3 linked regions of the Caenorhabditis elegans genome follow. The protein of the gene in region 1 purifies or fractionates together with the protein of each later gene. This does not show direct contact. Each region holds a gene or a part of one and is shown in the gene's direction. Other genes may lie near its edges. The genes, in order: rsp-4, snr-1 and dpm-1.

The links.
Region 2: the proteins of rsp-4 (region 1) and snr-1 fractionate together in Caenorhabditis elegans (co-fractionation; one large-scale study listed by BioGRID). This does not show direct contact.
Region 3: the proteins of rsp-4 (region 1) and dpm-1 fractionate together in Caenorhabditis elegans (co-fractionation; one large-scale study listed by BioGRID). This does not show direct contact.

The regions. Positions count from the first base shown.
Region 1 is NC_003280.10:5,384,997-5,391,788, reverse strand, and holds rsp-4 (putative splicing factor, arginine/serine-rich 4), read left to right. Parts: upstream 1-2,959; 5' UTR 2,960-2,962; coding exon 2,963-3,168; intron 3,169-3,224; coding exon 3,225-3,362; intron 3,363-3,453; coding exon of another isoform or gene 3,454-3,490; exon of another isoform or gene 3,491-3,639; intron 3,640-3,839; coding exon 3,840-3,894; intron 3,895-3,937; coding exon 3,938-4,129; 3' UTR 4,130-4,378; downstream 4,379-6,792. Other genes in the region: brap-2 (BRCA1-associated protein homolog 2), read left to right, coding at 649-1,077, 1,128-1,229, 1,275-1,352; ndx-6 (Putative nudix hydrolase 6), read left to right, coding at 1,952-1,985, 2,034-2,244, 2,291-2,614, 2,659-2,872; ccpp-6 (Cytosolic carboxypeptidase 6), read left to right, coding at 4,472-4,553, 4,637-4,761, 5,189-5,286, 5,341-5,554, 5,608-5,849, 5,962-6,073, 6,352-6,438, 6,737-6,792. UniProt on the Caenorhabditis elegans protein: May play a functionally redundant role in embryogenesis.
Region 2 is NC_003282.8:17,084,535-17,090,539, forward strand, and holds snr-1 (Small nuclear ribonucleoprotein Sm D3), read left to right. Parts: upstream 1-3,514; 5' UTR 3,515-3,524; coding exon 3,525-3,600; intron 3,601-3,650; coding exon 3,651-3,778; intron 3,779-3,829; coding exon 3,830-4,036; 3' UTR 4,037-4,316; downstream 4,317-6,005. Other genes in the region: snx-13 (Sorting nexin-13), read right to left, coding at 701-1,158, 1,803-1,901, 1,953-2,194, 2,271-2,392, 2,441-2,642, 2,689-2,795; Y116A8C.43 (Lipoprotein), read left to right, coding at 4,317-4,487, 4,613-4,819, 4,871-4,948, 5,290-5,507. UniProt on the Caenorhabditis elegans protein: Plays a role in pre-mRNA splicing as a core component of the spliceosomal U1, U2, U4 and U5 small nuclear ribonucleoproteins (snRNPs), the building blocks of the spliceosome.
Region 3 is NC_003282.8:442,286-450,194, forward strand, and holds dpm-1 (Dolichol-phosphate mannosyltransferase subunit 1), read left to right. Parts: upstream 1-3,391; 5' UTR 3,392-3,397; coding exon 3,398-3,748; intron 3,749-5,352; coding exon 5,353-5,565; intron 5,566-5,805; coding exon 5,806-5,961; 3' UTR 5,962-6,164; downstream 6,165-7,909. Other genes in the region: mrpl-55 (39S ribosomal protein L55, mitochondrial), read left to right, coding at 1,700-1,772, 1,988-2,115, 2,190-2,285, 2,331-2,411.

The DNA.
Region 1 (6,792 bases):
GTTGATTTAAAAACAATAATTTTTTGTTAAAAAACTGGTGGAAACAAAAAAAAAGAATGTTTTGAGGCTTCAAAGTGCCGAAAATCAACCTTTTCGTATAACTAATTTGAATTTCGCGCACTAATTAGTTTTGAAAATTCTCGGCCGTGTACTCCTCTCGGGCAATGAATCAATTAATTTTTTTGGATGCAATTTTTCGGGTTTTCTCATTGAATTCTATTGGTTTTTGTTTGAAAACAAATATATATATATATATATATGCGTCTGTAAATGCGTTTCAAATTAATTATCACACAAATACTTTTGTTCTGCCTAGGAATAAGTGCTAAAATCCTGTAATATATTCATTTTCCCCTTTATCGTTGAATAATAAGTATGATCATGTTCTAAAAGTGTTTGAAATCCAAAGTGTTTGATTTTTTACTTTATTTTTGCTATCATAAAGCAAAATTTTTTTTTTTTCGTGAAAAAATACCTTTGAAAAACAGAAAAAAAAGCAAAAAAAAAGTCCAGCACTGTTTTGTGGCCTTTTCATTCTATACAGAAAATTTATAAATTCATTTAAAATTTTGTTTTCAAGTATTCTGACTAAATAGACCAGAATGTTTAGTCTTCACTCAAATTCCCTAAAAATGTTGAAAATTGCAGAGCTTTGATGACAAAAACCAAAAGGGTGGAGACAAGCTTGAGGGAATCAAACTCGAATACACTCTACTCCTGACCAGTCAACTTGAGGATCAACGGAAATATTTTGAAGGTCTACGTCACGATATGGAGCAAACGATGTCAAAAATGGAGAAAACTGCTTATGCTCAAGTAGAGAATCTCGAGCATCAACTGACGGAACGATCAACTGAATTGAAATCATTAAAAGGAGATTTAGATGATACTGTGACGGCGAGAAAAGTGGCAGAGAAACGAGCAACGCAGACAAATGAAAAAGTGAATAAGCTTGCAAATGAGTTGAAAGATGAACGTGAAATAAATCAAATGTTGAGAAAAGATCAGCAAGTGTGGAAAGGTCAAGTGGAAAAGCTTATTGAAAGTCAGAAAACTGCTCGAACCGAGTATGAAAAGGTATTCGTCTAAATAGATTCCCTTGATCTCTTGAAAGCTTTTCTTTTCAGAAAATCGAAGATCTTCAGTCACAAGTCAATGATCTTTTGATGCATTTTGAAACTCAAAATAAGCTGAAAGAGCAGTTGGATGCTGGAAAAATAACTCAAGAGGTTGGTTAACCAATGCTCGCCACAATAAAAATGTTTAATTTACAGGAAATAACTGAAAGTCAAGTTGAACTCGATTCGTCGTCCTCCTCGTCGAGAAAATTGAACAGAAAGAAGAAAAAGTAGTTGGCATCTCAGGAGATCCATGTCCTATTTAATTTTTGCATATTGAACATTTCTTTAATAGTCTTTTCATATATGGTTAGTCTCACTTGAATATTTATTCGCTTTCTTTCGCGTATCTCATCGAATTTTGTGCGGTATATATGTATGCAGCCGGTAGTTTATTTAATGCATTCGCTTATGAATAAAATGATATCGTTCGAGTGTCTTTTGGTTTCATATTATGTACCATGTTTTCAATCGTTATTAAACGACGAGTCAAAAACTATTTTTCGAATTCCCTCCTCTTTCCTTGCTGACACATTTTCGGTGCTGACGCAACTCTTGTGTTCACTAAGAACGCACACTTCGTTTTAAACGTCTCCGCTGGCCATCATTCTTGTTTCCTTCGATTTTTCTCGATACTTATCTTTTACAAATTATTTTCTCTTTTTTTCAAGATTTCCATCAACTTTTAATATCACTGCTCTCATAATTTCTCGAAACTCTTCGTATTTCTCTAATTCAAAAGTTTTCTGCCGCATTTTTACACTCACTAACCAAGATTATCGATTTTTGGGCAATTTATGACAATTTGGAATCATCTTTTGTGTCGTCCGATAATGAGTTTCGTTCATCAAAAATGCAGAAATATCGGTATAAACAATGTATTAATCTAACATTAAATACAAATTTAACCTCTAGATACGGTTTACCTTGGTAGTAACATTCACCGACTAAATGTGCCTGATAATCTTGTCAAATGGAGCCAAGAATGGTCAGGATACAATCCTCCGGCTCACACCGATCCAAAAGTTGATGGAGCTGTTTGGGCAGACCCAGAAATCGATGAGAAAACGTTCCAACCGTCTTGGAATGCGATCGATGGGAAAATCAATAGAGTGTCATATGTTTGGTGCGTTTATGAGTGTATATACTCAATCAATCAAGAAACCTTCCAGTCAGTACTCATTTGATCCTGTCACCCTTCGCCCACTAAATCCTATTGGACGTACGGGACTTTCTGGTCGTGGTTTGCTTGGTCGTTGGGGTCCAAACCACGCAGCAGATCCGATCGTTTCTAGAACAAACGACAATGGTGATTTGGAGTTTGTTGCAGTTCAACGTCATGACAATGGCGAGTGGGCAATTCCTGGAGGAATGGTGGATGCTGGAGAGCATGTTTCACAAACTCTACGGCGCGAATTCGCAGAAGAAGCAATGCATGGAATTGTCGATTCTGAAAATCTTGATGAATTGTGGAATAATGGTAAAGAGTTATACAGGTGCATTCACAGCTCTTTTATCCCACTCAATGTTTCATTTACAGAGGTTACGTTGATGACCCACGTAACACTGATAACGCATGGATGGAGACTGTTGTTTTCAATTTTCATGATTCAAAAGGCCTTCTGAAAAATGTGGCTCTTCAAGCAGGAGATGATGCTAAAGCTTTACGCTGGATTGCAGTTAATTCAAATGAGCCACTTTACGCTTCTCATTCTCATTTTATTGATCTTCTAAAAGAATCTCATTCTCATTAACTACCACATGTCTCTCTTTTCTCATGTTCTCCTCTTATTTTCGCGTTTCTGTTAGCTATATTCAATTCATAAATGATTTTCATTTCAGAAATGAGCCGTGGAGGAGGTGGTGATCGTCGTGCCGCACCGGATATCAATGGTCTAACTTCGCTGAAAATCGACAACTTGTCGTACCAAACAACGCCCAACGATTTGCGTCGAACTTTTGAGCGATACGGAGACATTGGAGATGTTCACATTCCAAGGGACAAGTACTCTCGCCAATCGAAAGGATTCGGATTCGTTAGATTTTATGAGTAAGTTAAATTGGAACTATTGGAGAGAAAACATCAGAAAATCAATATTATTTTAGACGTCGTGATGCTGAGCACGCATTGGACCGCACAGACGGAAAGTTGGTTGATGGACGCGAGTTACGTGTGACTCTTGCAAAGTATGATCGACCATCGGATGAGAGAGGAGGCCGTGGAGGTGGTGGTGGACGTAGAAGGTTAGTATACTCAGTTGATTCCCCTTGTAGTTGTGCTCAAAAATTAGGCGCGAGACTTAATGGAACCCTTGTCTTCCTGACTTATTTATAGAACAGCAGCAGAGCCAGATGTTGCTGAGCTGAGCTGAATTTTTGCTGCTGTTGAAGCTGTAAATGCTTGCTGAGTGACACTTGAGTAGCAGAATTGCTGAAAATGCAGAGAAAAGCAGTTTTGATGTTGCTGTGTCTGCTGAATGAAACCAGCGGCGACAGTGTGGAAAAGGCAGAAAACAATTTTGTAAGTGCCCGAATATTTTCAATCGGCATATTCTACAGTTTGTTGCTGAAATTCAACTTTCGGTGGCAAACTGTATTGATAGACGTTGTTCTTTGTCTTTGAGTTGTCACTTCTTTCTATCGAATAGAACATTCACAGCGAGTAATGTATTTTGTACTCTATCAAAAACTTGATTCTTTTAAAAACTTAATAAATTTCAGATCCCGCTCACCGAGAAGACGCTCCAGATCTCCAAGATATTCTCGCTCAAGATCTGTAAGTTACTTTTAATGTCACCAATGTATTTAAATAATTTCAGCCGCGACGTTCTCGTAGTCGTACTCGTTCACCACCATCTCGTGATCGCAGAGATTCACCGGATCGTCGTGACAACTCTCGTTCCCGATCTCGTTCACCGCCACCACGTGAGGATGGATCTCCAAAGGAACGCCGTTCCAGAAGCCGCTCGGCATCTCGTTCGCCAAGTCGTAGCCGTTCCAACTCCCGCTAAATTCCGAAAAAATTTCCTCTTCGATTTCTGATTATTTTTCGTTTTCGTTTTCGTTTTTACTATGATTTACTCACTGATCCTGAAATTTCAAACGTCTTTTTTTTCCAGTTGCCTCCAACAAGACAAGTAATATATATGATTTCCAATTTTCCATCTAATTTCTCCAAGAGAACTGTTAAAATAAATCGAAATTCTGTCCGTCAATATTGTTCCAAACTTTTTTCTCTTGAATAAATTGGCTCAAGTGTCAAAGCAGTTAGAAATGTTCACCCAACCACACTTCCGGCTTCCGGTGTCGGAGCTCAGGTCTGGTTTTCAAAAAAACAAAATTTCATTTTCAATATGGGCTATGTTGGAAATGTCAGCTATCCTGATACAATTCCTGGTCAGGGAAATTTGGTTTTTGAAGCAAGTTTTGAATCTGGTTAGTTTTAAATTCAATTATAGACAAACAAGGAAGTAATTATATTATTATTTTTTGAATATTTAAAAAGTTTAAATTTTAAGGAAATTTGGGACGAGTCGACAAAGTTTCCTGTTCAGAATATGATTTATTCATTCGACCTGACACTTTGAATAATAAATATAGAGTTTGGTTCTATTTTGAATGCAAAAATGCATCTGAAAATCAGGTAAATGTTTGAAGAATTTGTATTTATTATTGATATTCGAAAACTGGATCTGAGGCGGAAACGTCGGGTCTCGCAGCGATTTTTAAAAAAATTCAATACCCTACGGGTTACTGTAGGTTTTCAGTTTTTTTCTGCAATGGCCATGGTTCTGAAATATTTACGAATTTTCCAGTATACCTAAATATGTTCTTTATTTTCGGGGAGAACATTTTGAGACAACTTTTTTCCTAGCTACAGTACTCTATTTTCCGCGCTAAAAGGTGTGTGCCTTTAAGAATACAGTAACCCATTCCTCGTTTTGAAAGTTACCGGCGGTTACTGTATTGATTGAAGGCGCACACCTTTTTGACTGGGTACTATTTGAAAATTAGTGTAATTATGCAGTTTAAACTTTAAAATTTTATTATCAAATTTGCAAATTCTTCAGCGGGCGATCTTCAATATTGTGAACTTTTCAAAACAAAGAACACTATTCGAAATGGGAATTGCAGCACCTGTAGTCAAATCAAATGCTCAAAATAGTTGGTATGATGAAAACCCCTCGATTTTCTATTTTAAAGAGCCATTTCAACATTTTAGGGCTCGAATCCCATCTCGCCATATCTACTACTACCGTAGTTCCCAACACAATGATCGTTGGATTCTTTCATTTGCTTTCATATTTGAATCACCAGATCCTGTTCAATTTGCATACTGTATACCGTATACTTATGGACAAATGCAGATATGGTTGAATGAGTTGGAATCCAGAAAATACCCATTTTTTCATAGAGATCTTTTGGTTCAAACTGTGGTAAATTGGAAATATTCATGGAATAGTCTGAAACTTTTTGGAAAATAATTCAGCAAAAACGTCGTGTCGACTTGATAACAATTGATGCAACACCTGACACATTCCAAGGATCCAAGAAAATGATTTTTCTAACTGCGCGAGTTCATCCTGGAGAGTCACCGAGTAGTCATGTTATGCATGGAATTATTGAATTTCTTGTTTCCAAAGATGATCGAGCACAGAAGTTGAGAAAAGTTTATTGTTTCAAAATTATTCCAATGCTTAATCCAGATGGCGTTTTTCTCGGAAATTATAGGTAACTTTTTGCAAACAGCCTAGGTAGGCATTCCTCGTCACCAACAACCTCTCGGCCCAGGCATAAAGGCGTACCTACCTACAGTGCCTACCTTATCAGAAGGTCATTTCAGATGTTCTCTAATGGGTCATGACTTGAATAGAATGTGGAGAACCCCTTCAGATTGGGCTCATCCTTCAATTTATGCTGTGAAGAATTTACTGACGCAATATGATAATAATCCGGTGAGAGCTGTTAAATTTATCGATATTGGGAATTTATCGATATACATATTCAGTGTTTTGTAGGACTTTTGAGCATTTTCATCAATTTTTTTTTGCAATTCCCATGATACATTCAAGTTGACTGTATCTCGAAGCGATCAAAATCCTAGATTACTGTAGACTATGGTTAAATTGAAACATTGTGGGAAAGTTGCCATGCTCACTGTTATGTGTCAATTTTAGGAATAAATGAATCAATAATTTGTAGAAGTTTTAGGATCTGTTCTTGAATATTTCAGCAAGCCCAAACTGTAATCTACGTTGATCTACATGCCCATTCTCAGAAGCCAAATTGTTTTTTGTATGGAAATGTGAATATGTCAGCTGTAAGTTGTGAATTTTTTTGTGAATTGGTTCGGGCAACTTCAAGAATCAGTTATGAGTTACTGTATTTCTTGAAGGGGTACAGCAACTATTGAAAATATTTTGTCCGTGGCGAGACCCGATATTAGCCGATTGAAGAACTTAGCGATTTTAAACAAAGTACCCGGTCTTGATACTACCGAAACTTAGCAGTTATCTACAGCATTTCACAATTTTAAACCCTAATCTTTTCATAGTTTCGCTCAACTTTGCAATGACCACAAAATTTAAATTTTCTGAAACATTTTTTTCTAATTTTCGGTCGAAGAAAAATCGACTTTCCGGCAGTTATGGCTTCCGCATTTGCTGGCAGATCT
Region 2 (6,005 bases), on another chromosome or scaffold:
TTCGCTCCGCCCCTTTTTCAGTGCGGCATTGCGTTTTTTGCAGGATTTTTGACCGAAAATACTTGATTTTGGGTCATTTTCGCTGATTTTTTCAGTGTTTTTCATCAAAAATAGACCAAAAAAAGAGATTTTGCACAGAAAATAGCTCAAAAACTGTGCATTTCGGGATTTTTCATACGAAAAACGGAATTTCTCTAGTTATCATATCAAACTTTTTTGATTTTTGACACTTTCGAGTTGAAAAATAGGGAATTTTGGATTTTTCAGATCTAAAATCATATTTCTTCAAGCTTTCACAATGAAAACGGTTAAAAAACCACAAACTCTCGATTTTGGGAAATTTTTGAACGAAAACACTATAAATAAGTGATATATTGCGAATTTTGAATGTTAAACACAAAAAAAATCAGCAAAAATGACCTAAAACCAAAAAGTTTAGCAGAAAGACTGAGAAAATGCAAAAAATTAATTTCCAGTTGTCCACGAGAAGTACACGCTCGGCGCGCCGCAGGGTTGCAAATCTTCGCTCCGCCCATTTTTCTGTGCGGCATGCGTTTCTTGCAGGATTTTTGACCGAAAATTCTTTATTTTGGGTCATTTTCGCTGATCTTTTCAGTGTTTTTCATCAAAAATGGTGTTCTAAAGCAAAACTAAGCCAAAAAAACTGCAAAATCACACAAGTAGGACATTTCCAATGTACCTCAATGGCTAAATAAAGATCAATATAATTTTGACCGCCAGCTGATTTGAGAAATTCGCAGAACTGTGACAGAGCAATAGAATTCGTGAGAATAACGTGAAGTGGAAGCTGTACAAGTTGATCTCCATCTTCGCCAAATTTCGTGAGCAACGCGGAATCTTTGGATCCCAAGAAGTCGATTCGCCGCTGAACTAGATTTTCGACGAATTGTAGACTGGCTAGTTGTTGTTTAACGAAAGTATCCTGTTCTCCACCGGAATCCTTCCCTCTCATTACAATTTTTTCGTCAGCAATCGCTCGGAACACGGCTTCCAGCTCTTCGATGGATGTTGAACTCGTGAGACACGCCACAAAATCATCGGGTTTTGGTTCCACTTCACTGAGAAGCCAAACGATTAATTGAAATATTTCATTTGGATCGGAGAGGTAGTCCAGAGTAGGCAGAATCACTTTTCTTACTGAAAAAAAAAAATAATAACTAGATTTTTAAATGTTATTTTCGTTTTTTTATCCATTTTTCGCCAGCAAAGAGCGTTGCGAGACCTTCTATGTCCCTTTAAAAGTTGTGTAGATTTACGAGCACCGTGTACTATGCGAGGACAAGCGTTTTTTTCGGCAAAAATGTCTGAGATTTCCTATTTTCTGAAGAAAAATTGTGTGTTTCGATGGTTTTGTTGCTATTTTTTGAAAAATCGAAAAACTTTAAATTTTTGGATTTCAAAAAAGTTAACGAAAAATATTTTTTAGTTTTTTCCCCGATTTTTCGAAAAATAGCATTAAAATTTTTCGATTTTCAACAAAAAATCAATAAAAAATTATTTTTTCTATAATTTTTTTTATTATTTTAGGCAGAATTAAATTTAAAACGCAAAAAACCGTGAAATCCTGCTAGAAAATACGTTTTTCATGCTTGTCCACGAGTATACTCGTGGCTCGCAAATCTACACATCTTTTAAAGGGACATTGACTTTTTTTTCAGAAAAAAATTAAATTTTCCATCAAATTTCGGTCATTTTTTGTCTTTTTAGAAGAAAATTCGATTTAAAAATTGATTTTATTTTTTCAATTTTTCTCAATTTCCTGAATATCTTCCGACACTGACCAACAACTTCTCGAAGCAAGAATCTCAGCGGCCGACATCTAAAATCTTCCGGTGGCATTATTAAATAGAGAATTATATCGACAAGATCATGAAGATAGGCTGAAAAATCGGAAAAAATTGAATTTTTTCATCGAAAATCTCAATTTTTACCATTTTCATAATGCGGTGTAGTTGAAAGAAGATCTCTACACAACGATTTTTCCATTTCCAGCTCAAAATCAAAGAAATTGCTGAGCAATTCCGCTTCCAAATCTTCAGGGGATAATGTTTTATCTTTTTCCTTCGCTTGAAATGCAGTTCTTTCCTTAGCTTTCCGGAAAAGCCGTAAATGAGAAGCAAAATCGTCGACAACGTCACGCGTGAGCAATGGAACCCAATCAACCTGGCGGAGACTGGAAATTTGAGATTTTATTGATTTTTTTCCATTTTTTGTTTTATAAAATAAAATTTTATTAATGAGCTACACACCATTGTGTCAATGAGGCAATTGATCTTCGGGAGGTTCTCTTTAAGCTTTGTTCAAAAATATTATCATTTGAAAGTGTTTTATACCAAAAGCCGACGTAATCCCGTGTTATATTGCCGAGAATCTAAAAAAAAATATTTTTAATAACATTTCAGTCCACATAAATCCCTACTTGTTCTAAAACCAAATCTAATTGCGGTGAATTGCACATTGAATGCACCTCCACATATTGATTTTGCTCTTTGAGTCGTTTTCCATTTTTCAGCAGAGCCTCAATTCCCGCAGATAATTTTCCTTTTTGCAGATTTTCGGATAAAATTCCAGCGATTTCGTCATGTTTTTCGTGTCCCGTTTGATAGAAAATGTAGAGAAATCTGAAGGTATTCCAGTTTAAGGTTTTTCTAAAGAATTAAAGCTTACCCCGCTACGAAACAGAGGATACTGGCTGGAAGAACGATTAGACCGGTTGAACCGAATGTTGCTAGGAAAAGGACTACAGCAAGGAGAATATAAAGCCGATTTGACATTTTTCTAGAGAATTTTCCGATTTTTCTTCATATTTTACATAAAATTATGGAAATTCATCTGTAAAATCTGGTAAATAATTAAAAAATTCTATGCGCATTCCGTAAAACTAGTATCTCGGGGACAAGGGAACGTGAGATTTGAAATAGTTTCTGGCAGCTTTACAAATGAAAATTGCTGTATTTTTTTAGTATTTATAATTGATTAAGAATAATATAATAGTTTTCATTTAATTAAATATTTAAATTTGCATTTTACATAAATGCTAGTCTCCAATTTCGGCGTTCTTGCGTCTCCGGGAAGTTAACTTCATGAGGCCCTTCCCGCAAACGCGCCCCACTGCACACGCTGCGTGCTGCGTCGCGTGCCTTATTTTCGAATTTTATTCCCTTCATTTTTCATTTTGAGCTCTTCATTTTTCGTAATTTTTAGAAAGAAAAACCGTTTTATTTCTAGATTTTCTTCAAAATAAAGTTCTAAAACACATTTTTCTCATCTGGAAATCCATTTGTTGCCACATTTTTCTTGCAACGCGTGCAAATTCTAGAATTTTCCGAAAAAACTTCATTTTCGGGGTTTTATTCCTTTTTTGTCTATTATGCTCAGCATATTTCAAATGAGAACAAACTTTACCGTGAAAAGTGTGAAAATCTGAAATTTTAGGCGATTCTACTTCTTTTTTCTAACGTTTTCTCCCTTCAAGCCGAATCTACAGAATCAAAATTTTCAGAATGACTTCAGTTGGTGTCCCAATCAAGATTCTTCATGAGGCCGAAGGTCACATGGTCACGCTCGAAACCGTTACAGGTAATCATTTTCGAATTTCCCGTCGCTCAATAAATACTTTTCTATTCCAGGCGAAGTTTACCGAGGAAAACTTTCTGAAGCCGAAGACAACATGAACTGTCAGCTGGCTGAAACCGTTGTGACTTTCCGCGACGGAAGAAGTCATCAATTGGACAACGTTTTCATTCGCGGAAACAAGGTTTTTCACCATTTTTCTCTAAATTTCAGCTGTAAACCAATCAATTTCCAGATCCGATTCATGATTCTGCCGGATATGCTCAAAAACGCGCCAATGTTCAAAAATATCGGAAGAGCCCAGAAAGGAGCCATTGGAATGGGTTTGGGAGGTCTCGATCAGCGTGGAAGAGGACGTGGAACCGCTTTCCGTCGACCAATGGGCCGTGGAGGACCACGTGGAATGTCTCGCCCGGGAGGAGCTCCAACGTTCCGTGGATAAGCACAACACGGCGCAAATATAATCAATTCTCTGTATTTTTTCTCTCTCTCGAGTCCCCCATTCTTCCAGTTTCTCTTCTTTTCAAAGCGTGCGCAGACCGTTGAATTTGACGTGATCTCCTGCTTGTCCCGGCTCCGCACTTTGTTATTTGTTGAATCATACTTCATTTTTCATAAATTATTTTCCAGAAAAAAGACGACGACAAACTGGTTTCGGAGATTTCCCTGTAAGATTACCACAATTCCAAAGTGTGGTATTCGCCTAGAATATAACTGGCGAAATGGTAAATCATTCGCCAGTCGTCTTCTTTTTGTTCTCCTTATTCTTTTATTCGCATTTAAATGGAGCATTCGATGATGCAGAGCATTTTCCAAAAGGGATAGAGGATAGAGCCAAACTTTTGGCACGGGCAGACCAGTGTGTGCTAAAATATTTAGAGTTTACCGGCAAAGTGAGTAATTTTTCGCAAAAAATTGAGCGAAAAACTTGAAAATCCACGTTTTTTTTCGAGCCGCTCCGCTTGCTATTGCGTCGCGGTCGCGAATATTCTGTTATTTTTTTTATTTCTCTGTTCAGAAGCTTTCACATCTGCCGTACACTGTAAAACGATGTGCTCTCTCGGAATATTTCACTTGGGAAGAGTCTGGAACATTTTTTCCGTTTCAAAAATGCAATAATTTCGTGTTTTTCGGGGGAAATTCCCTCCAAATATTGAATAATACCGATTTTAAGATGCTCAATTGCAAATATTTGATTATCGATTCGAGGGAGAACCTCCGTGGAGTTTGTAGTTTATAGTCGAAGAAATGAACTTTTAAATTCTGAAATTTTCAGCTTGAAAATTATAAAAAAGTAGATGATCTTTCAAAATCACAACTAAACAATGCTCTGCTTCAATTTAAAGAAGAAAATGTAAGCTGAAAATACAAATTTAATTTAAAAATATTTTTGAAATCGAGGTGCAATCGCCCCCAACGCGAAAAGGTCTCGTTTTGGCGGGGAAACTGGGGATTCAAATATTTTGCGACCTTTTTTAGTCTTTTTTTTGTTGCTCTGACCGTTTTTTTAAATTATTTTTCTGCTAAAAATGTAATTTTTTCTGAAAATCGTCAAGAACAACTGAAAAAACGTAAAAATGTTTAAAAAAAACATGTGAAAACGTTTGAATGTCTAATTTTTGCCGCCAATACCCAACGAGATTCCGTGGAGCGCGATTGCACCAACCTTAATTTCGAAAAGGGCATGTTTTCCAGGTAATAGAGCATATTTTCATCTTTGAAATGAAAGAAATTGAAAATTATTTGGATAACCTTCTGAAAATTAGAAAAATATATTCCCTTATTGTATGCCAAATTACGATTCGTGTACCGACGTTTGTCGGGGAAGATGTGATTTGGCAATTTGCAGAGAATATTTTAAGAGATGATTATTATATTTTGTTGAAAATCACCAAAGAAGCAAGTTATATAGAGTAAGTTTGAATTTTCAAAAAAAAATTCAATTTTCTTTCAAAAGTAAAAAAAATCAGTTTTTATGATGAGAAAACCGAATTTTCAATAATTTCCGGTAATATTTCAACGGCACTTCTTAATTTGTACGCGCCTTTTGAAATCGAGGCGCAATCGCGCTCCAACGCGAAAAAGTTGGGTACCGTTAGGAACTGGCGGCAAAACGATAAATTCAAACGTTTTCAGTTATTTTTCGGCTTATTTTCGTTATTTCTCTGGTGGTGTTTTATAATTTTTTTTGTCAAAAAAATTCAATTTCGTCATAAAATGCATAAAAATCACTCAAAAAATCACAAAAAAGTCGAAAAATGCTTGATTTTCCCCGTTTTCGAGAATTTTTCGTATTTTCCGTAAATTTTTATGCCAAAAATCTGTTAAAAAAGTAATTTTGACGAAAAGTGCTCGAAAAACATTTGATTTTCTAGCTTTCCCGTCTAAAAGGTCCAATGTTCGGTGGAGCG
Region 3 (7,909 bases), on another chromosome or scaffold:
TCTTCGTCCATCGACTTTAAAATACTCAAGTCGAGTTGAAAACGCAAGATTTGAATTAACTGGTATAGCCAGTTGGCCAAATTTACAGTGCACGACAAATTCGGCAAGTTCGGTAAATTTGCCGAGCTTAACAAACTCCTAAAATGTTATATTTTTCAAAGTCTTTAGAGCACCAAAACTACTGAATTCTTAACACACATCTGGTTTCCAAACAAGTTCCGTGTAGTGTGTCTTCTTCAACATCAAAACAGCTCAATTTTGTGCCATTTTACAAAATTTTTGAGGACAAAATCAATAGTTTCGGCTAAAATTGTATTGTCAATTTTTGATGTTTGCGGTAAATTTGGTAAATTTGCCCCACACCCCTGATCCCCACACACTTATTTAACATTTGTGAATAATAGGCGGATCATAGTTGGCCACTTTTTTCAATTTTCCAAAAAAATCGAAAACTTTATTAAAGGTCAAAATTCCCCGATAATTTAGTTACTGTAGCTTCAAAATCCACAAACACCGTGTGCAATAAATACACGTAAATTCACGGAAACTTGCGGGCTTTTAATCAAATGGTAAGCGGAAACTCAACTTTCAATACGGCGTCCTGCGCGTGAAATGCGCTAAATTGGAAGAGGAGACCCAAAAAAACAAAACCTATTCCAACTTTTTATACTGTAGTTTGTCTTCAGTAAGCAGCATCTTGAAAACTATGGAAGATATGAAAAACTTTTCAACTAGAAAACTAAAGTTGATAATGTAGCCAACATTTCTCAGTTAAGAACTTTTTCGTAAGTGAAGCCATTGAGTAGTTACAACAGTGGTAATGTATGCGCAATGGGATTTTATCAAAAACGTAGTACTTGTGTTTTTAAGTGCGTATATCTTTTTAAATAATAAAAGAATTAAAAAAAGTAAAATCAAGAATTGTAGTGTTTTGTATGCTGAGCATTTCTTCGGCTAAAAGTTTTTTGATATCTATGCTCACGAGAGAGCTATGCTCTTTTGGAAAACGTACAAGTTAAATTCCTTGATATAACCTCGCTAGCTGTTATAGATCATAACTCAGTAACCAGTGACGGAATCAAAAAACGCTAAACTAATGAAATGTTCAAAATTGTTCAAATATTATTTTCATAATTGACTGCTTCCTGTTTTATTTCTTATTCGCAAAGTTACGCACGTTTAAATAATATTTATCGTGATTTCTGGTATATTGAACTACAAAAATTAAAATTGTTATTGAAAATCTTATTGAACAATCCATTTTTCATTCAATTTTAATATTTTTTTCAAACGTAAATTAGCAAGAATTTGAAGCTTTGTTCAAAATCTTCCGTTTTTCGCCGCTTTTCACGTTTTGAGCGAAAGAGCGTGCGCAAGTGAGAGGTGAAAGATGACGAGAGCGACTTGCTTGCGCGTTTCACCCGCAGGAGGCCGTGTATAAACTTTATATATACTATAAAGTTTGTTTACCGTTTCGAATCAGTTCCTTTATCTTTTTCAATAATTTCTCGCATTTTTCTCATTTCTTATTTTAATTTTATTTGCATTTGCCGCGTAAGTGACACGAAAAGTGAGCGCCGCAAACGCGCTCCGCTGAGAATTTGTTTGTGCACTCCTCTCGAATAAGTCAAAAATACACGTCTTTATTAAAACTTATTGATTTTTCAGTGTATTCCTGTGATTTTTCTTGAATTTCTAAATGTTTTTGCAGATGAACACTCAAATTTCCATGCGAAACTTGCTAACAAGCTGCTCAAAAGCCATCACAGCAGGTTAGTAAAGGAAAAAGGTCGAAAAATATCATTTGAAGGTTATTTTCAAAAAAAAAACGTGGCAGAACATTTTTCGTACAACATTTTTCATGTGAAAATTGCAATTACTATTATTTCCATTCATTTCTCCTCAAAATCAGACTTTTTATAAACCATTTCCCCCTTCCTCTCCCTAAATCAAAATCACTATTCCCGCGTGAATTTCACATTTTCAGAGAGAAATAATGCGTGGAGAGCAAGTTTGGGAAAAATCAGCCGTCGAGACTACTTGCATCGGTACCAAGTTAAATTTATCCGTCCGGATGGTTCGACAATCATGGTTCCCGCCGCTGAACCGAGACAGGTTGCTTTTTGAAAAATACATATTTAATTGCAGTTTTTATATTTAATCAGTTTTTTAATTGTACATATTTTCAGACATTCCAATCTGCCGTCGACCTCAAACAGTTGAGCGAGGATGAACGACGACAACGGCTGGCTGCTCGTAAACCAAAAGCCAAGATCACAAAAACAGTAATTATATAATTAACGATTTCAAATTAAAAATGGTTTTTTCAGGAAGTTATCGATGACACCTTCGATGAGTCGGAGTATATGAAGTTTTGGTCGGCACCCGGGCAGAAATCCACGAAAAAATAAGAAAAATCTCGTTATTAGCATGTAGTATTTCTTTTTTTTTGTTAGATTTTTTGTTTTCGTTATATTTACTATGAATATCGACTTTATTCTCGATCTGATTAATATTGATTTGTGCGTTTAGTCGCAATTTTATATCAATTATCTCTATTTCACTAGGGAACCCCGTAACAGCTTGGTGGATAGGAAACCAAGAAGTTTGTGGAGGAAAATCGAGTTTCCGGTCGAAATTAGCTTGAAAATACTAATATGCTAAAAACCTCTAAAAACCTCATTTTTCAGCGATAAACGCCGAATTTTCAGCCATTTTCCGAGAAAAACGCGAATTTTCGGGTAAAAAACCCGATCTCAGAACGAATTTGACTTCAAAAATGGAAAAATGCGATAAGAAGCGTGAAGTTTCACTGAAAACTCTTAATTTCAACGTTTTTTACTCAAAAAATCGTATTTCTGGCTCAAAAACAGTGAAATTTATCATTTTTTTTCTGTGAAAAAATCGATTGGGGGGACCAATAAAAGGTACATTTTTGTGACCCACTGACCGAAAATGTACTTTAATCAAAGAATAAGCGCGTAGTAAAGGACCATAATATTTATTAAAGATTGATAATTGAATAAAAATTTAGTTCCAGACGGTGTCACACCGAGAAGGTGGAAAAATGTGATTTTAGCTGAAAATGAGCTTTTTCTAAAACTTTGACCCATAACTTTTTTTTGAGAAAATTTCAAAACTTCTCATTACGAAATTCGGTAGTTTTGAATCATTTGGTTCTAAAAAGCAAAGTCTTAGATTTCGGTACTCCAACTTTAATTTTCAGTGACACTAGTGTTTTTAAGACTTTGAGACCGATTAATTTTGTTTTGATTTCGAGTAGCCAGTATTTAACACAAGCTTCCGATTGGTATACTTTTTGTTTCTCTTATTCACCAAGTTTTTACAGGGATCCCTAGTCAGATTATTCAAAAGGAATTTTATGTTTCAGATTATTATGACATCCACTCCGAAATATTCGATAATTCTGCCAACCTACAACGAAAAAGAAAATTTGCCGATTTGCATTTGGTTAATTGAAAATTATCTGAAAGAAGTTTCACATGAAGTGATTATCGTTGACGATGCATCACCAGACGGTACTCAAGGCATTGCAAAACTTCTTCAAAAGGAGTACGGAGACGATAAGATTCTGATCAAGCCACGAGTTGGAAAACTTGGACTTGGTACAGCCTATTCACATGGATTATCGTTTGCACGTGGAGAATTTATCATTCTTATGGACGCAGATCTTTCTCATCATCCAAAATTCATTCCGGAAATGATTGCGCTTCAACATAAGTATAAGGTATACATTATTCGTACATTTTTTCTAAAAATTGTTAAAAAAACAGAACTTTTTTAAATTTCAAAATTTATAGGTGTACAAATGTTATTTTAGTTAAATAATAGTTAATTTGATGAAAGTTTTCCAATTTGAGAAAAATATGGCAAGAACTTATTATGCAACGTTAAGCATTTAAAATTTATATAGAAATGTAGAACACAGCATGTTCTATCTGAAAATAACATATATTTCTGTTAAAAAATTGAAAAAAGTCCTCAAATAGTACCTGAAAATTGTCGTTTGACGAAAAGGTGCCGTTAAAAGTTTTTTCGGCAAACTGTAACTTTCAGGCACAGTTGGATCAGGGGTGTGCTGATAATATCCGATTCACTATCAGCCGAATTTCTGCCAGTTTAGCTAATTTAAACTTTAAGTTATCCGGTAGCCGATGTTGGCCGATCTTAGCCCAATTTCCCGGTCTGCTAATTTCACTAACACATTTTTTTTTGGAAAAAATGTTGGGGTTTTATATGATTTTTTCTATTTGAACAGTCGTTCATCACTGAATTTGCTAAAAAATAGTGAACATCACCGCAACTTTTTTCGAACGAGGGCCGAGAAAAAATGCGAAAAATCGGTGTTTGCACACAAAACACCGCATTTTACGACATTTTGTACTTGCTTTGTTTTCTCTTGTTTTTCACCAATTTTTCCCGTGTTTTCTTATCAAAACTGATAAATAAATTTTTTTGCTAATGCTAAAATAATTTCCAGATGAAAAAATATGTATTCAGTCGGCAAGTAGCGGTGAAAGTCGTCAATGTAATATGATGGATTACGGGAATACAAAACCCAAACTTTTTCCCAAACATGATACATATGCTGCTCTGATGCTGAAACTACCTGATTTTCATAACGAGACCGCTGAAAAAGTTTTGAGGTTTTCAAAATTCAACTTTTTGTGCGAAAATCTCTACTTTTTCACCAAAAAAGTTGAATTTTGAAAGCCTCAAAACTTTTTCAGTGGTCTCGTTATGAAAATCAGGTAGTTTCAGCATCAGAGCAGCATATGTATCATGTGTGGGAAAAAGTTTGGGTTTTGTGTTCCCGTAATCCATCATATTACATTGACCACTTTCACCGTTACTTACAGACTCAATACACAATTTTTTCACTTGGAAATTGTTTTAGCATCTGCAAAAAATATTTATTTATTAGTATTAATAAGAAAAAATGGGGAAAATTGGTGAAAAACGAAAGAAAACACGCGGAAAACAAAGCAACATAAATGGCCGCTGAAACTTGTCGGGGACTCGGCCATGGCCTAGAAACCTTTTTGCCTCGTCCCTCGTTCGAAAAAAGTTGTAGTGAATAGCCGTTAGCCGGCTTCAAAAAAGTCGGCATTAGCCGATCTATCTGTTAGCCGAAAAAGTCGGTTATCCGCACACCCCTGATTATCATGTTGAAATGCGCCAGTTTTGTGCGTTTGCCGAAAATAATGTCTCACCTAATATCAAGTTTCCGATAATAGAGGACATAATATTACATTTAAAAAACCATCACATTTATATCAACACAATGCCTTTTTTAAGCATAAAAATACAATTTTTTTATTTATTTTTCAGCTCGACATCGTGACAGGAACACGCTACAAGGACGGAGGTGGTGTTAGTGGATGGGATTTGAAGAGGAAGACGATCAGCAAGGGAGCCAATTTTTTGGCTCAGTTTCTGCTGAATCCAGGTGTATCTGATTTAACAGGATCATTTCGTCTTTATAAGAGAGATATTCTGTCGAAGTTGATTGCTGAAAGTGTAAGCAAAGGATACGTTTTTCAGGTGAATATAGGTTTAAATTTTGAAAAATAAAGATATTTCTGCAACTCGTGCACACCATTTACCAAAAACCGGAGCCAATGAAAAAAGGTTTTTATTGATCAAGAAACAGAAATGCAATCAAAACTTAAGCTTATTCTGAGGCTCTTCGAAAATTCAAAGTTAAATATATATAAAGAAGATTTTTTAATAACAAAATACTGTGAAAAAGATTTTTTAATGTTTTTAAAATCCGAATTGCAGATGGAAATGATGTTTCGAGCGAAAAAATCGGGTTATCGTATTGGGGAGGTACCAATCTCATTCGTCGATCGATTCTTTGGAGAATCAAAGCTCGGAAGTCAGGAAATCGTGGATTACGCAAAAGGACTTCTCTATCTGTTTGCATTTGTTTGGTAGATTCTGTGATATAATTTGTATTCATTTTACTATTTTTAATTTAAATTTTAAGAATTAAAATTTCTGAGAGTTTTATAGCCAGAGCGCTTCATTGTACGTTTTCCAAATTTTTTTATTATGACCTTGGGGATTCCTATTTATATTGTTTCCAAACATTCTTGTTTAAATTATATTTTTTCTTCGAATAAATCGTTATAATATTTTTTAAGATGCCAACAAAATTGGAAACAATTTGTGCACAAATGTTCTGGTTGGCTAAGTGTCAAGTTGCCGAATAATTAAAGCTCGGCAAATGCCGAAAAATAGAAGAAATATGTATCCAATTTTCAAAAAGAGATTAAAATTTTCAGATTATCCAGTGTTGGGAGTTAAAAATGTTATATTTTTGTACCAATATCTCGGCAAATCGGTCCAGTTTTCCAGGGCGCTTTCAACGTCTTTCAACGACTACCCCCGAGCTGTGAATTGTGCCCTGGAAAGCTGGCGATGAGCGGCAAACTCCAGAAAAAAAAGTGGGTGTGTGTGCCGCACACTGCCGTACTCTGTTGCACATTTCTGTGCATTTCTGAGTCACTATTTTTGGTGAACGGCCAGAGTCACTATATTTGGTGAACGGCCCAAATATAGTGACTCTGGCCGTTCACCAAGAACAGTGACTGTCTCGGTAGACGTATGCGCACATTCCGCGCACCTTCCGCGCACATTCTGCGCACATTGGTTTTTGTGTGTTTTTCATCCAGAAATCATGCATTCTGCGCACATTCCACGCACATTGCCTTTGGTGTGGCCATTTTCCACACCGCTAGCCCTTTGAGCACATTCCGCGCACTTTCCGCGCGGATTCTGCGCACATTGACTTAGATAATCTACAACTATTGCTCAATTTCTGCTTTCTATAAATATTTTAACGTTGTTTAATTTTTATGTCTGAGTCCATATTTACTAGTACTTCTGATATCTGGAAATACATAATAGTCAAGAGAAAAGACAGAAATAATCGTAAAATGCCAACAACGTCACTGTAGAGTTCAAATATGTTTTCCCAAATATCATATTTGAGCTAACAGGTTGTAAACAGGTTGTAACGTCGTCTATCGTGATTGATTTACAACTACATAATGTCCCACAATTTAATAATGTCCCACATTTTAAGATAAAATAACTGTCAAATTTTTGTTTCAAAAATTGAAAATGTGGCTCCTGTTCCTAAACAGTTTCATCAAAATAACTTCAAATAAAGAAAAACTATATACAATCAGCTTATCTAACAATTTTCGTAAGTCTAACTAGTCTGCCAAGCAGCCTCTAATAAATGCCGAGTGTACAGACTCCGCCCCTTTTTCGCGTTTTTTCGCGTTTTTTTTAGCTTGCGAAAAAATGTCACACTTCGTTTTCATTAATAACTCCAGAGCCGTTTGACTGAATTTTATAATATTTGACAGCTTACTAGAAATATTTCACCCCACGGGGGAGCAAAAAACTGCACAAAGTTTGGAGCAAAACTGAGCTCAGGGCGGCTTTCCCCAGTTTGAAAAAAATTTTTGTTGCTCTTTTTACCCCCAAAAAACCATGTTTTAATTGAATTAAAATTCGGATTTTGCTCGGTTTTGTTCCAAATTTATGTGCAAGATACTACTCAGAGAGGTGGATTTTTTGAAAGAAAGTTTGAGTTCATAAGTGCAAAAGGCAAAAAGTTGTGATAAAACAAAAGGCCAAAAAATGCCATTTTGCCAAAAAAAATTTTTTTTCCGAAAAAGTAGTTTTTCGTCTTTATCTCAAGTTCTACTTCATCTTTTCGACACTTTTTTTTCTACCCCACGTAAAAAAGTACGTTGAACACGATTTTCAACTCAGAATTAAGAAAAGTTTTATGAGTCGGCCGAGCAAGACGAATAAGTGCCACATTTTGCACGCTTTCCCATTTTCGCGAATCTACTTTTTCAATCAT